3 linked regions of the Cricetulus griseus genome follow. The protein of the gene in region 3 interacts with the protein of the main gene of each other region in a biochemical or structural test. Links are inferred from orthologs where the notes say so. Each region holds a gene or a part of one and is shown on either strand. Other genes may lie near its edges.

Region 1 (4,221 bases), on a different chromosome or scaffold from region 3:
AGTTCTTGCCACCACCACCTCTCAAATAAAAAACTGATCTTTTTGCTGGTAGTGGAGCACATGCCTTTAATCCCAGCACTTGAGGCAGAGGCAGGCATATTTGAGAGCTCAAACCTGGCCTGGTCTACAGGGTGGGTTTGGAGGCAGCCAGAGCTACATGATAGAGAACCTGTCTCAAAAACAAACAAACAAAACCCCGTATCTTTTGAGACAGGACAACAAACTGGTGCACAGGCCAACCCAGGCCACTGCTTGCTTCTGACCAGTCTCTCATATGAAGGGCAAACCTCACCTACAGACGCCCCTGTGCGCCTGGCAGGGAATGCTGATGGGCACCAGCAGGCAACATGTTCCTCTGCCTGGCTTTGCACCTCACCAAGTATTGGGGACCTGTCCCTTTTCCTACTTCAAGCACAGTGATGAAGAGCCTGGCCTTGGCTGGAACACCCTGAATGTTCTCACAGAAGGGTCAAGCCCTGCTTTTGGACAAGATGCAGTCTCAGAGCATCTAAGGCATTTGACCCTCTTGCGGAATAAGCCTGGCGGAAAAAGGGCACAGCCGGCTCTGTATCAGTGCACACTTGTTTATTATAGTAAAATCAGGCGATGACTGACAGCACACTGCTTATGGAAGGACACTGTTAAACTTGACTTACACGATGCCTAGCCCAGACAACCACAGTATGCCCCACAAAGATCAATGGCCACATCGGCCACTTTTTAGACCTGATAGTTTTGCTACTTCAACAGGTGGGTTCACATATGCTTAATGACCTCCCCTCTCAAAAAAAAAAAAAAAAAAAAAAAAACAACAAAAAAACAAAAACAAAACCCCAAAAAACAAAAAAACCCAAACCCCAAAACCCTTGCAACACAACAAATTGCCTTTATTTCAGTATGCATCCACATTTCAACAATTAGTGGTCCTGAACAGAGTGGGGAACGTGGCAATGAGGCAGGAGGCCAGGCCCACCCATCTGAAAACTCATGACACAGAGCTCCTCCAGGTCCCTGCCGAGGGTCTGAGGAGCAGCAAGACTGAAACCTGAGTCCGCAGGGTTAGGGCCTCTGTTCCAGCTGTCAGGTTCCACGTCAGACCTGATGGGTGGACACGGAGTCCTGTCCAAACCACTTCAGTGTGTAAAAGCAAAGCGATTATGAGAAAAGGAACCGACTCAGTACCCTGTGCGCTGAGGACTCTCCGCATGGCCTTTCTCTAGGCGCAGCCACCAAGGACCCTGAGCGCTGGCAGGTTTGTGGTCCCTTGACTGACTGCTCTGTTCACCTCGAGACCTGAGCTCAAAGTGCATCGGCTGATGGTGGCAGCAGGGCCGAGGACCCGGAACCCCCTTCCCAGGCTGGTGGCAAGTGAGCGTGTGGCCAAGAGCTAAGTGAGAAGACCAGGCTCTTCCAACCTCATCTCACGACTCTGGCCACAGCAAGTGTGGGGTGGTGTGGGCAACGAGGGAATTGAGAAGGAGGGGGAGAGCAGCACCCCTTGATAAAGGTGGGGAGACGGGAAGCCCTGAAATCCTCACCCACGGCCAATTTCAGAGGGAGGGGAGGGTTACAATCTAAGCTTTGGCCAAGGGCAGGAGTGGGGGGGGCGGCAATGGCTTGGATGGGGCATCACTTAAGACTTAAGAAATCAGGGGTGAAGCCAAAGCACCCCCAAGCCCAGCAGTAGTCCCACGGCTGCTACCTGAAGCCTTCCCATCTATTCTAAGGGCCACCACACAGCTGTGGCAGGAGGGCGGGGCGGGCAAAGGCAGACCCAGGCCATGTGTGAGCAGCAAGTGATTGTGTGACAATGTGTCTGTTCACAGTTGCATTAGCTGTGCCCACCGCTCCCAAAGGAAACTGATTTCAACACACCTTCTTGATCCCAGAAGTTCAACTAAGCAGCCAGCGGTTACACTCGACAGATGTTACACAGCACAACTTAGGTATTTCAAATGGACAAGAAATTAGTATCAGAACAGTGTCTCAGGATGAAGTCCGAGTGGAGCCTCCTCTCCAGTACTTTGAGGTCTACAAGATGAATCTAGAAAATTCACTACTGTGGAAAATGAAGACTTAGGTTGGATTGGGGAGGGGAGGCCGGGGCCTTGGTGACTAATTGCTGTAACACTGTCCTTCTGGCGGCTGTGGCAGCTTCATGTTCTCTTTGGCCATCATCAAGCGCCGAAGCTCCTGCAGGATGACTTTGATGCTGTGGGAATTCTGCCACTTTGCCAGCACCGCCGTGGCCCTGGGATCCACCTGCAAAGAGGCAAACACCCAGATTACCCCATAGCAAAGCCTTCCCCAACGCTGACATGCTCAGCCCACAGAGCCCCATCAACACAGAGGCCATGCCAAGCCACCCTCCCTGCCAGCATGGAAGAACCAACACATGGGGAGACCTAACCTGGCCAAACTCGGACCATCCTGATGGACCAGCACCTGGGCGACCACGTCCTGTCTTTTTCCACTATACACCCAGGGTGGAGCTGATAAAGATGGGAGTGGCAGCAAGAGCAGCCATGGCGCCCTGGTCTCTTGGGTTATCAAGGAGTTGATGGCTCTGACACAGTTCATTTCTATTTCTCTGGCCCATCTTCTGAAGACTTCAAAGACAGAGGTTGGGTACGGTGCCCCAAGAATCCGGCAAGCAACCTTCGGATTCAGGATCTATGGCTGGGGTATGGCTCCATGGCAGATCTGCCTAGCCTGTATGAGGCCTTGAGCTCTAGTCTACAACAGTGCTGCAGCAGCGACTTCTCAGGGAAAGGCCTGGCAGTTCCATCAAGGAAGCAGAAAATGTGTGTGGGTCGGACAGTGGGACAGGGCTGCCACAGTGCTCAGGACCACAAGGGTTTCAGATTTTGGAAGCTGTGCAGACCTGAGCAGCTGGGCAACTTCCGCATGGTGAGCTCCACCCTCAAGTGCTTCAGTGTCCTGGTCGGCAGTCTGAGACTTGGGAGCGCTTTGGATTAGAGAGTCTGTTGTCAAAATGTGTTTAAAAAGTAAGGTCCCAGTGAGTCACTGAGGAGGCTGACGGGAGGGCTGCCATGGGTAGAGGCCAGCCTGGGCTACATAGGGAGTTCCAAGGCCAGACATGGCCACAGAACAGGGTTCTCTCAAAAAAATAAGCAAATGGGCTGGAGAGATGGCTCAGCAGTTGAGAGCACTGGCTGCTCTTCCAGACGATAGGGGTTCAATTCCCAGCACCCACATGGCAGCTCACAACGACATACATGTAGGCAAAACTCATGCTCATAAAGCAAATAAACAAAGAAACAAATAGCATTAAAGGTGTCACATGGCAGCGGTCACGGCACATGTGAGGATGTGGGGAGGGCCATGTCCCTGAAGCTCCACCTCACGATGTCACAAGCACTTAACACTCTTATCTCAGTGACAGTACAGGGCTCCCAGAGTGAGCTCAGAGGAGCGACAAGACACAATGCAAGTAGCCCTGCCCCAATGCTACAGACACACTGTGATAACCTGTAGAGGATAAGCCAGCAGCGTATCTCGGGCCACCGCCACACTCCCAAATTCAGCAGGGCATCTTGGGCAGGACGGGACTTACCACTCCATTTGAACTACTCACGCCGCTCATATTGACTTTTGTTACAAATCTTACAGATGGGGGTGCTTCTGGGTATTTAGGCCCACATTCTATTTTAAGGCTGTATATTCGGTTTTCATAAATTGTCTGGAAAAAAAAAAGGTACAGATATGTCAGTTACAAAGAGCTAAGAGAAGTACAAGTGCCGAGACACTGTTGCCCTGGGACCACAGTGTGATACGCCTGTGTGGACAGGGGGGAAGAGCACAGGCCCTCCGAGGGCCCTGGTCTTGGAGAAATAAGCAAAAGACAGGACAAAGAAGCTAGGGATGCTTGGTTAAAAGTGTCAACAAGTCCGACCCAAGCCACTTCTGTCGTGTGCCACCTGCCCTTAGAAGCCACCAGCATCAAGTGAGCGAAGGAGGCCACGCAGCTGATACGCCAGACCTCCAGCCATAGCATCAACCCTGAAAAACCACCGGTGGCTGGGCCCGGTGGTGCACACCTGTAGCCCCAAGAGTGCAAGGTGATCTGTAACTACATAGTGACCTTGAAGCCTATCTGTTGAGGGCTGTGGAGATGGTGCACTGGGTAAAGGTGCCCGTCATGCAAGCCTGTCAGGGTGAAAGAAGGGAAAAGAGTACTCTCTACCCATCCAGATAAAA
Region 2 (3,618 bases), on a different chromosome or scaffold from region 3:
TGAGCCTCATGGGGCTCAAACATAAACGTTTTGTCCACAAATTTTGTATGCATTAAGAAAGAGAAAACCAACTGTTGCTAGTGACAGGGTCTTGCATAGCCAAGGCTACCAGCTGACCAATTGGTAAATCTAGATGGAGGGCAAGTTGTTGCTCACTGTGTTATTCTTTCAAAGTTTTTGTTAAGTTTGAAATTTTTCCAAATATAACCCTGGGAGGAAAAATCAGAATAAGCTGTTTGTGTTAAGTTTACAGTGTTACTTTCTAATTTTTAATTTTAAAGAAATGAGATGAAAAATAAAGATGTTTTCCGTTCTATTTAATTAAATAAAGTTGAGATCAAAGTGTAGGCACATTCTGCTTCATGAGGCAGGCTTGTTCATTTTAAAGTCTACAGCTAGAAGACTGACTAAGTCATGTAAAGTGCATGTAAGACACTGCAATATAGCTAAGTGGTTTAAAAGTGTATGCTTTGTTCGAGAGAGTTCAGAATTTGGATCTAAACCTGGGTAACATTTTGAGTGTGCTGTGTGGCTCACAACTGGCTACTCCACCCATCCCAGTCTAGCACTCTCATGGTAACATTCTCAGCTGTCTCTCTAGCGATATCCTGTAGCTCTCTGAGGTGGGTTTGACTTGTATATGTGTTTGTGTGTTTGTGTTAACTGTGCGTGTATGATAAGTGTCCATGTTTGTGGCGGTCAGAGGTCAGCATGGGGTGCCTTGCTCACTCTCGATCCATCTTGTTTTTTGAGACACGGTATCTCACAGAGACTGGAACTTACAAATTCATCTAGACTAACTAACCAGTGGGCATCAGGAATACAGCCATCACTGCCTGTGCAGCCCAATATTAGAGAAGGCGCTCTGCACTGGCTGTTCTTCGCCTGGATGCTGGGGAATCTGAACTCGGGTCCTTAGCCTTCATACTGGCAACGACAAGCACTTTACCAACTGGGATATCTCCCCACCCCAAAAGTTAGCTTACAATTTTTTAGCTCTTTATTTTATTCCATGTGTATGCATTGCTTTGTCTACATGTATGTATTTGCACCACATGCATACCCATACCTGTGGAGGGCAGAAGATGGTTTTATATCCCCTGGAACTGGAAATGCAGGTAGTTGGGAGCTGCCCTGAGGATGCCCTGGGAAGCAAACCCTGGTCCTCTGTAAGGGCAACAGTTTTCTCAACCACTGAGCATCCCTCCAGCCTCAGTTGTTAACCTGAATTCTCTGGCTCCTTTTCTGCTGAGTGTCATTCTCCTAGATGGGGTACTTCTGGTTCTCTCATACTCCGGTTCCTTTACTGTCTTCCGGAGGGTCAGTGATCCGGACAGGAGGGGACTCGGGAGTGGTGACAAGATCAGTGTCTATCTTCAGATGAACTCTCATTGTGTACTAGTTTTGTCTTTTGTTTTTCAGGAGATTTGAAGCCTTACTCCAAACTGGGAAAAGCCCCACGTGTGAGCTGCTGTTCGACTGGGGCACCACAAACTGCACAGTTGGTGACCTTGTGGATCTTCTGATCCAGATTGAGCTTTTCGCCCCTGCTACTCTCCTGCTGCCAGGTAAACTGGGTGTGGCCAGAGTGCCAGCCACTGTCTGAAGTGATGAATGGCAGGAATCGAAGTTTTATTTCTCTGTTTACTCTTCTATGGAATGAACACACCTGACACTTGGGTCCCCTTCATTCTTTGAGCTCTCCCTTAGCCTTTAACCACTCTAGATGCTCTGGACTGTGCTGCTAAAGTGATGAAGTCTAAACCTCACAAAACCGGATCGTTTTGTGCCAGGAGGGTTTATTTAAAGGATGAAGAATGCATCCTACAAGAATTTATTCTTTTGAGCCATGTCTCTCTAGACCCCCATTCGGCTTCACCTTGACTGGACTTTCATCAGGGCTTCCTTGCATTGCATTCCCCTGTGTTACTGTTGCTCTGCCCTTGTCTTTGCCCCACTCCTTTTCTCCCTTGGATGCACTCGGGGATCTTGACCTTTACTGTGTAAAGAATCTCTTAGAGTTCTTGTTGAACATGTAGATTCCTGGACTCCATGCCACACCTTCTTTGGGTGGTGTTTTATTTGGTTGGTTGGTTGGTTGGTTTGGGTTTGGGTTTTTTGAGACATGGTTTCTCTGTGTAGCGCTGGCTGTCCTGGAATGCATTTTGTAGACCAGGCTGTCCTCGAACTCACAGAGATCTGCCTGCCTCTCCCTCTCAAGGGCTGGGACCACCACCCAGCACCACATCTTAATAGGACCCATAGCACTGAGTTCAATGACTAATGTTTTTGGTCCTTTCCTCCCCACCCACTGCCATTTGTGTGTGTGTATGTGTGTTTGTGTATGTGTAGTTGTTTATCAGACAGAATCTCAGGTAGCCCAAACTGACCTTGAATTTACTATGTAGTCAAGGCCAAAGTTGAACTTGATTCTCTTGCCTCCACCTTCAACGGGATTACAGGTGGGCACCACCATGCCCACTAGTTCTCTATTCTTAAATAAGTATAGTATTTCCTAATGACTCTGAACCACTTTTTTTTTTTTTTTTTTTTTTTTTGGTTTTTCAAGACAGGGTTTCTCTTTGGAGCCTATCCTGGCACTCGCTCTGGAGACCAGGCTGGCCTCAAACTCACAGAGATCCGCCTGCCTCTGCCTCCCGAGTGCTGGGATTAAAGGTGTGCACCACCAAAGCCCAGCTCTGAACTACTTTTGTGAACACTATCACTCTGTCTAGTCATCTTTATCACAAGGCACAGCATTGTACTGGGAATCTTCCTGTGTTTGGTGAGGATGTAGGGCCAGCATCTAGGAGCTGTACATGTTCTGGGTTGTCTTAGTTAGGGATTCTGTTGCTATGAAGAGACACCATGACCACAGCAACTCTTATAAAGAAAAACATTAGGTTTACATTAGGTTTAGTCCGTTATTTTCATGGTGGGAAGCATGGCAGCACAGGAGGCAGACATGGTGCTGGAGAGGTAGTTGCAAGTTCTACAGACTGATTGTCAGGCAGGAGGGGAGAGAGAGAGAGAGAGAGAGAGAGAGAGAGAGAGAGAGAGAGAGAGAGAGAGAGAGAGAGAGAGAGAGCAAGAGCTCCTGAGCCTGGGCCTGGCTTAAGCATCTGAGGCCTTAAGACCCACTCCCAGTGACATGCTTCCTCCAACAAGGCCACACCTCCTAATAGTTCCTGATGGTACTATGGGGTTCGTTTTCATTGAAACCACCACAGACTTTTTCTTACACAGAGACTAATTTTGTCTTCTTGTTCAGCAGATGCTGTTCCCAAAACTGTCAGCAGTATACCTTCTAGAGAAGCTGCAACGGTGGCACAGACACCTGGGCCCTGCCATGAAAAAGTCAGGACATTGGTAACGCCTATGCCAAGGGTAGAACAAAGCTATAGGCCACCTGACTCCTCAAGCCCAAACAATGAAAACTTAGAAATCAGTGATACTGATACTCGTAAGTAGCATTGCCTGTGCTTTCTTTCCCACTGGTGGATTTGCCATTATGGTGATTTAAAGAAAACCTCTCCCCATTTGTCCTGTGGTCAGAGGCACATTAACGGTATCCTTAGACGTGTGTTTTCCTTTGTATTTATTAAGTACCATCGTCGT
Region 3 (4,355 bases):
TTTGTGTGTGTGTGTGTGGTTGTGTGTGTGTGTGTGTGACCTCTGCAAGTCTGACTAAGTGATAGGCCTATATTATTGTTCCATGGGAAAATGTATATAGATGCTCACATGCTGGCCAGTTTCCAATTCTAAGTGTTGACTTAAAACATCTATCACCTACAGAAGCTTCTATCTGAAAAACTGTTCACAAAGCAGAACTCTAGCCCTTACACCCATTCACTGTCCAACCATGATGGAGCACATTCTAAATCAAGGGACTCAAAATACAACTGACATTCTGAAAGGGAAAGGAAGCCGGAACTAAGGTAAATGGAAACATTCCAGGCTTCCCCCTGAAACTTGCCTCAGTAGCACCATTTCCTGCCCTATTTCTCAGCCATTTGTTTTAAAGGGTCCCAAAGAGCTCAGGAAACAGGCAAAGCTGAAACTCACTTCCTCCTCTGGACTACTGGAATTGGACTGAGCAAAGGCACTGTTAATAGTTTCCTACAAGTACAAATGGCCCTGGTAAATCTGGTTGGTAAGTAGCATGGAAAAAAGTCCAACATGAGGGTACTTAAATGCCAATTTTAAGATGCACATAAATAACCCAATATGCAACTAAGGCAGATTTCCAGTTTACTGTTTTCCAGTCAAGAAACAGAGCTACACTTTCATTACACTAAAAATCTGAGTGCTAAGTTTCCTCTTTAAAAGACTGAAATTTATTAGGTGAGGCACATAACATACACTCTTCCACACACTTAACCATACCATTTTCAAAGCATTAAACCTATGACCTGTCAACAAACTTCAGAAAAGGGATACGTTGCAGAACAGGGAAGAAAATAAAGTCTCACTTTCATTTTCTGACACACCCACCAGATGTAAAATCCGGGGGCAGCTATACATTACAAAATTAAATGATTTAAGTAAAAATATTCCTATTACAGTTCTGAATCATTACAGTTCTGAATCTCATACATCTTAGGAAAAGAACTTGTAGAAGTAACACTTGATTTAAACTTTTCAAACCTTCTATTTGGTACCAAAAATTTTAAAAAGTACTGGGATTAATTGCCCTCTAAGAATTTACTACAGATGTGAAAAGAAAACAAGCAAGCAAAAAATAATTGATATGCTGTATTCAGACATTCAGGAGGTGTCAAGCATGCGTATCTGAGTATTCTGAGAAAATATTTTCGGTTATCTGCAAAAGCGTATCATAAACCGAAACCGAAGAATTTGAGGAACTGCACCCTTTCTATAATTCAAAAACTTTAAATTCACACTACTAGGCAAACTCGTCCATGTGGAGAAAAGACATTGTCTTGTCTGGCACAAAAGATCACCCGCTCCGAAGACAAAGTCACATTCCACTGAGTAAGAGAAAGTTAAAGGGCCTCTGAACCAAAACAGACAACTTATTGATACACAAAAGCTTCAAGTCTGGGTATAATTGAGCGTCCTATGGATGAGATGCTCAGTAACATTTGTTGATGGGATGTGCCGGGGCTCAAACCACGAGAGCAAATCGTTGTTTAGTGACTAAACATCTTAAATGTAGGTTAACTAGAAACTACCCCTCCCCTCATCATTGCTGTCTGACTTCGTTAAGAGACTTGCACATATAAACATAATAGATGGCGAAGTGAGTTTATGACTTACACTATCTTCACCACTCGGAACATTTTCCAGAAAGTCCTTTGAGGTTTTAAGATTCAAACACTATTTTAAAAGAATTATTGTCTCAACTACCTAACAATTACCCAGGCTTCTTTCAGACTTCGTTTAGCCTGTAAGTAAAATGAGCATCTTTAACTTTTCCACAGGGCATTTGGAGAATGAGTTATTACTCATAAACGCTTTCCGAGCCTCAGACACCAGGGGCGGTACATCAAGCGTATCCATCAATTTGAGGGCTTTCTGGACCTCAGTTTACCCACTTACGGAAACGGGCTTGGCAAGGGCCCGGGAGGTGAAATTAATTAGTATTTTTAAAATGCTCTGAGATCCGAAGATGAAAGGAAATGTGAGAGGCACGCAGAGATGATGACAATAATCATAACAATAAAAAGAATGACTAACTTGGAAGTCTGCGTTATGTAAGGAAGCAGAGAAGTTACCAGAGTCACACAAACAAAAGAAAAGCCCACCGCCCCTTTGTTCCCCTTCCACTTGGCCTGCCTGCAACCCGGCCGCGGGACCGAGAACCGGGCAGCCAGCCGGGCCGGGGCTCGCAGCCGCCGCGCGCCCGCTCCAGCCGTGGGGGAGGGCGTTCCGGGCAGCTCCTCACAAAGAAGCTTCCTCCCACAGCGCGGGATGCGGCGCCGCAAACTCCGCTCCCCGCCGCCTCCCCGAGAGCAGGCGGGCGCGCGCATAGCCGCGCCGCCACCGGCACAGCCTCGGAGGAAGTTCCGCGCCGCCGGCCCCCGCGCCCCCTTCCCGGAGCCGCACTCACCGGACGACTGCTGGAGTCCGGAACGCCAGCTCGGCCGCCGCGAGGGCCCGGAGCGCGGACACCCGGGGCGCGGGGGCAGCGAGAGCACCGGTGGAACGCAGGCACCCGCGGAGCCCGCCGCCTTCCCGCCAGCCGCCGAGCCCCGCGAGGCCGAATGGAACGCGGAGCCGTGCGCCGAGGAGCGCGGAGCGGAGAGAGGCGCGGGCCCGCTTTGTGGTGAGCCTCCCCCGGCTGCAGGCAAATCCGGTGGCGCCGAACGGCCGCTGCAGCCGCTGCTCCTGCTGCTGTTGCTGTTGCTGGTGCTGGCGCTGGAGAGGAGGCGGCGGCGGCGCCCCCGATGGTCCCTCCGCCTCGAACCGCCTTTGGGTCACTGACACACACTGGGAGGGAGGGGAGGAGACTAGCGGGAGGGCGGGGCCTAAGGGGACGGGGCAGGGCCACATCAGAAGGCGGTGTCGAGGGGGCTCTCGGGAACTGTAGTTCTTTGAGAGAAAAAGCATCTATTGTGGAGGCGCCTACTGGTCGCTCTGCGCCTGCGTAGCGCAGAGCGATTGGGGGCGGGAACTGTTGCCATGGTCACTGATTCACTAAACCTGAAGGTTCAGTACTGTAGTTGACTAAACAAGGCTGGTCTTGTCTTTGGTGCCTTTGGGTTCCGGCCCATAGCCAGTCTCTTCTGCTTCACCCCACCCCCAACAACTAGCCTTACCACTTTCAAGTGCCCAGTGAAATCTCACTTCCTCCCAACATGGCAGTCTCCCTGGCTGCTCAAATTTCTTCTACAAATCATAAATATCCCTTTCCTTTGCCTCCTTCAAGTGAATTATCCAAGACACTAAATCTAGTTGTTCTTAGCATTTTAACAATTAAGTTATAAAACTGTTAGGAGCATGACCATTAACAAAATCCCATAATTTCTTTGCACAGTTAGTAACATCTAACTTTAGTACAGGCAAAGGTAAAGTTCAGCACTAATAACACCGTTTGATCACTGTAATGCAATTTGCACATCTTAAAAATCTGTTATTCTTCAGACATCCAAATTCCAAAATATAAGTTCAGAAGATAAGTAGACAGTTCAAAGCTGTTCAGTGTACATATTAGCTGATTTTCATTTAGTAATGAGAACCCTGAACCATGGTTTGGGTATGTTGTTGGGCTACTCAGCTAAGTCTACACCCATTCTAGTTACCCAGGTATGTATATGTGGTGGTGGTGACAAGTGTGGAGACATCCAGGACAATGTCTGGCTCTCCAGAAGACTTAGAGGTCACCTGCCTCAATTTCTCTCAATAGACTACCTAGAGCCCTACAATCTGGAGGGAAAAGGTTAACGGCCAAGAATCAGGCATATATTTTAAGAAGAGAAACTCGAGTTTTTCAAATGGTCTCAAGATCAGAAAGCTGTGATGCCCACAGACCACATAATTTTTGCTCATTCAAGAAACAAGTGCACAGGGCCTGGAGAATGGCTCAGCAGTGAAGAGCACTAGCTACTCTTCCAAAGGAGCTGGGTTCAATTCCCAGCACACACTTGGTGACTCACAACCATCTGTAACTTCAGCTCTAGGGAATCCAGTGCCATCTCCTGGCATCATCAGCACATAGACATATATGCAGGCAAAACACCTATATTCAAAATATTTTAAAATATATAATGTATATAATAAAATATTTAAAAAACAAGTGAACATATATACTATGTGCCAGGCACTTCATTTATCCTCAAAAATAGAGCTATAAAAATATAAAAGAAGCATACTTTGTATTCAAAGTCCTTACTCTGCCAAGGAAGAGAGATAATGGACTCAGTGTGAGCTATGCTGTCATAGGAAAATGCATACTACCTCAGACTTGGGCAGGGTCAGGAAATGCTTCACAGATCATTTGAATGTGGGGATGACTCACGGTTTTT

The links.
Region 1: the proteins of Peli1 (region 3) and Ube2v1 form a complex in vitro, tested with the Homo sapiens proteins (3 studies listed by BioGRID). The link is inferred for Cricetulus griseus from reciprocal best matches to the Homo sapiens genes PELI1 and UBE2V1.
Region 2: of the proteins of Peli1 (region 3) and Irak4, one has a biochemical effect on the other in vitro, tested with the Homo sapiens proteins (4 studies listed by BioGRID and IntAct). The link is inferred for Cricetulus griseus from reciprocal best matches to the Homo sapiens genes PELI1 and IRAK4.

The regions. Positions count from the first base shown.
Region 1 is NC_048599.1:11,805,076-11,809,296, reverse strand, and holds the end of Ube2v1 (ubiquitin-conjugating enzyme E2 variant 1), read right to left. Parts: intron 3,704-4,221; coding exon 3,578-3,703; intron 2,263-3,577; coding exon 2,116-2,262; 3' UTR 569-2,115; downstream 1-568. UniProt on the Homo sapiens protein: Has no ubiquitin ligase activity on its own. The UBE2V1-UBE2N heterodimer catalyzes the synthesis of non-canonical poly-ubiquitin chains that are linked through Lys-63.
Region 2 is NC_048595.1:391,037,242-391,040,859, forward strand, and holds part of Irak4 (interleukin-1 receptor-associated kinase 4), read left to right. Parts: intron 1-1,422; coding exon 1,423-1,568; intron 1,569-3,271; coding exon 3,272-3,463; intron 3,464-3,618.
Region 3 is NW_023276807.1:85,433,272-85,437,626, forward strand, and holds the start of Peli1 (E3 ubiquitin-protein ligase pellino homolog 1), read right to left. Parts: upstream 2,817-4,355; 5' UTR 2,441-2,816; intron 2,334-2,440; exon of another isoform or gene 1-2,333. UniProt on the Homo sapiens protein: E3 ubiquitin ligase catalyzing the covalent attachment of ubiquitin moieties onto substrate proteins. Involved in the TLR and IL-1 signaling pathways via interaction with the complex containing IRAK kinases and TRAF6.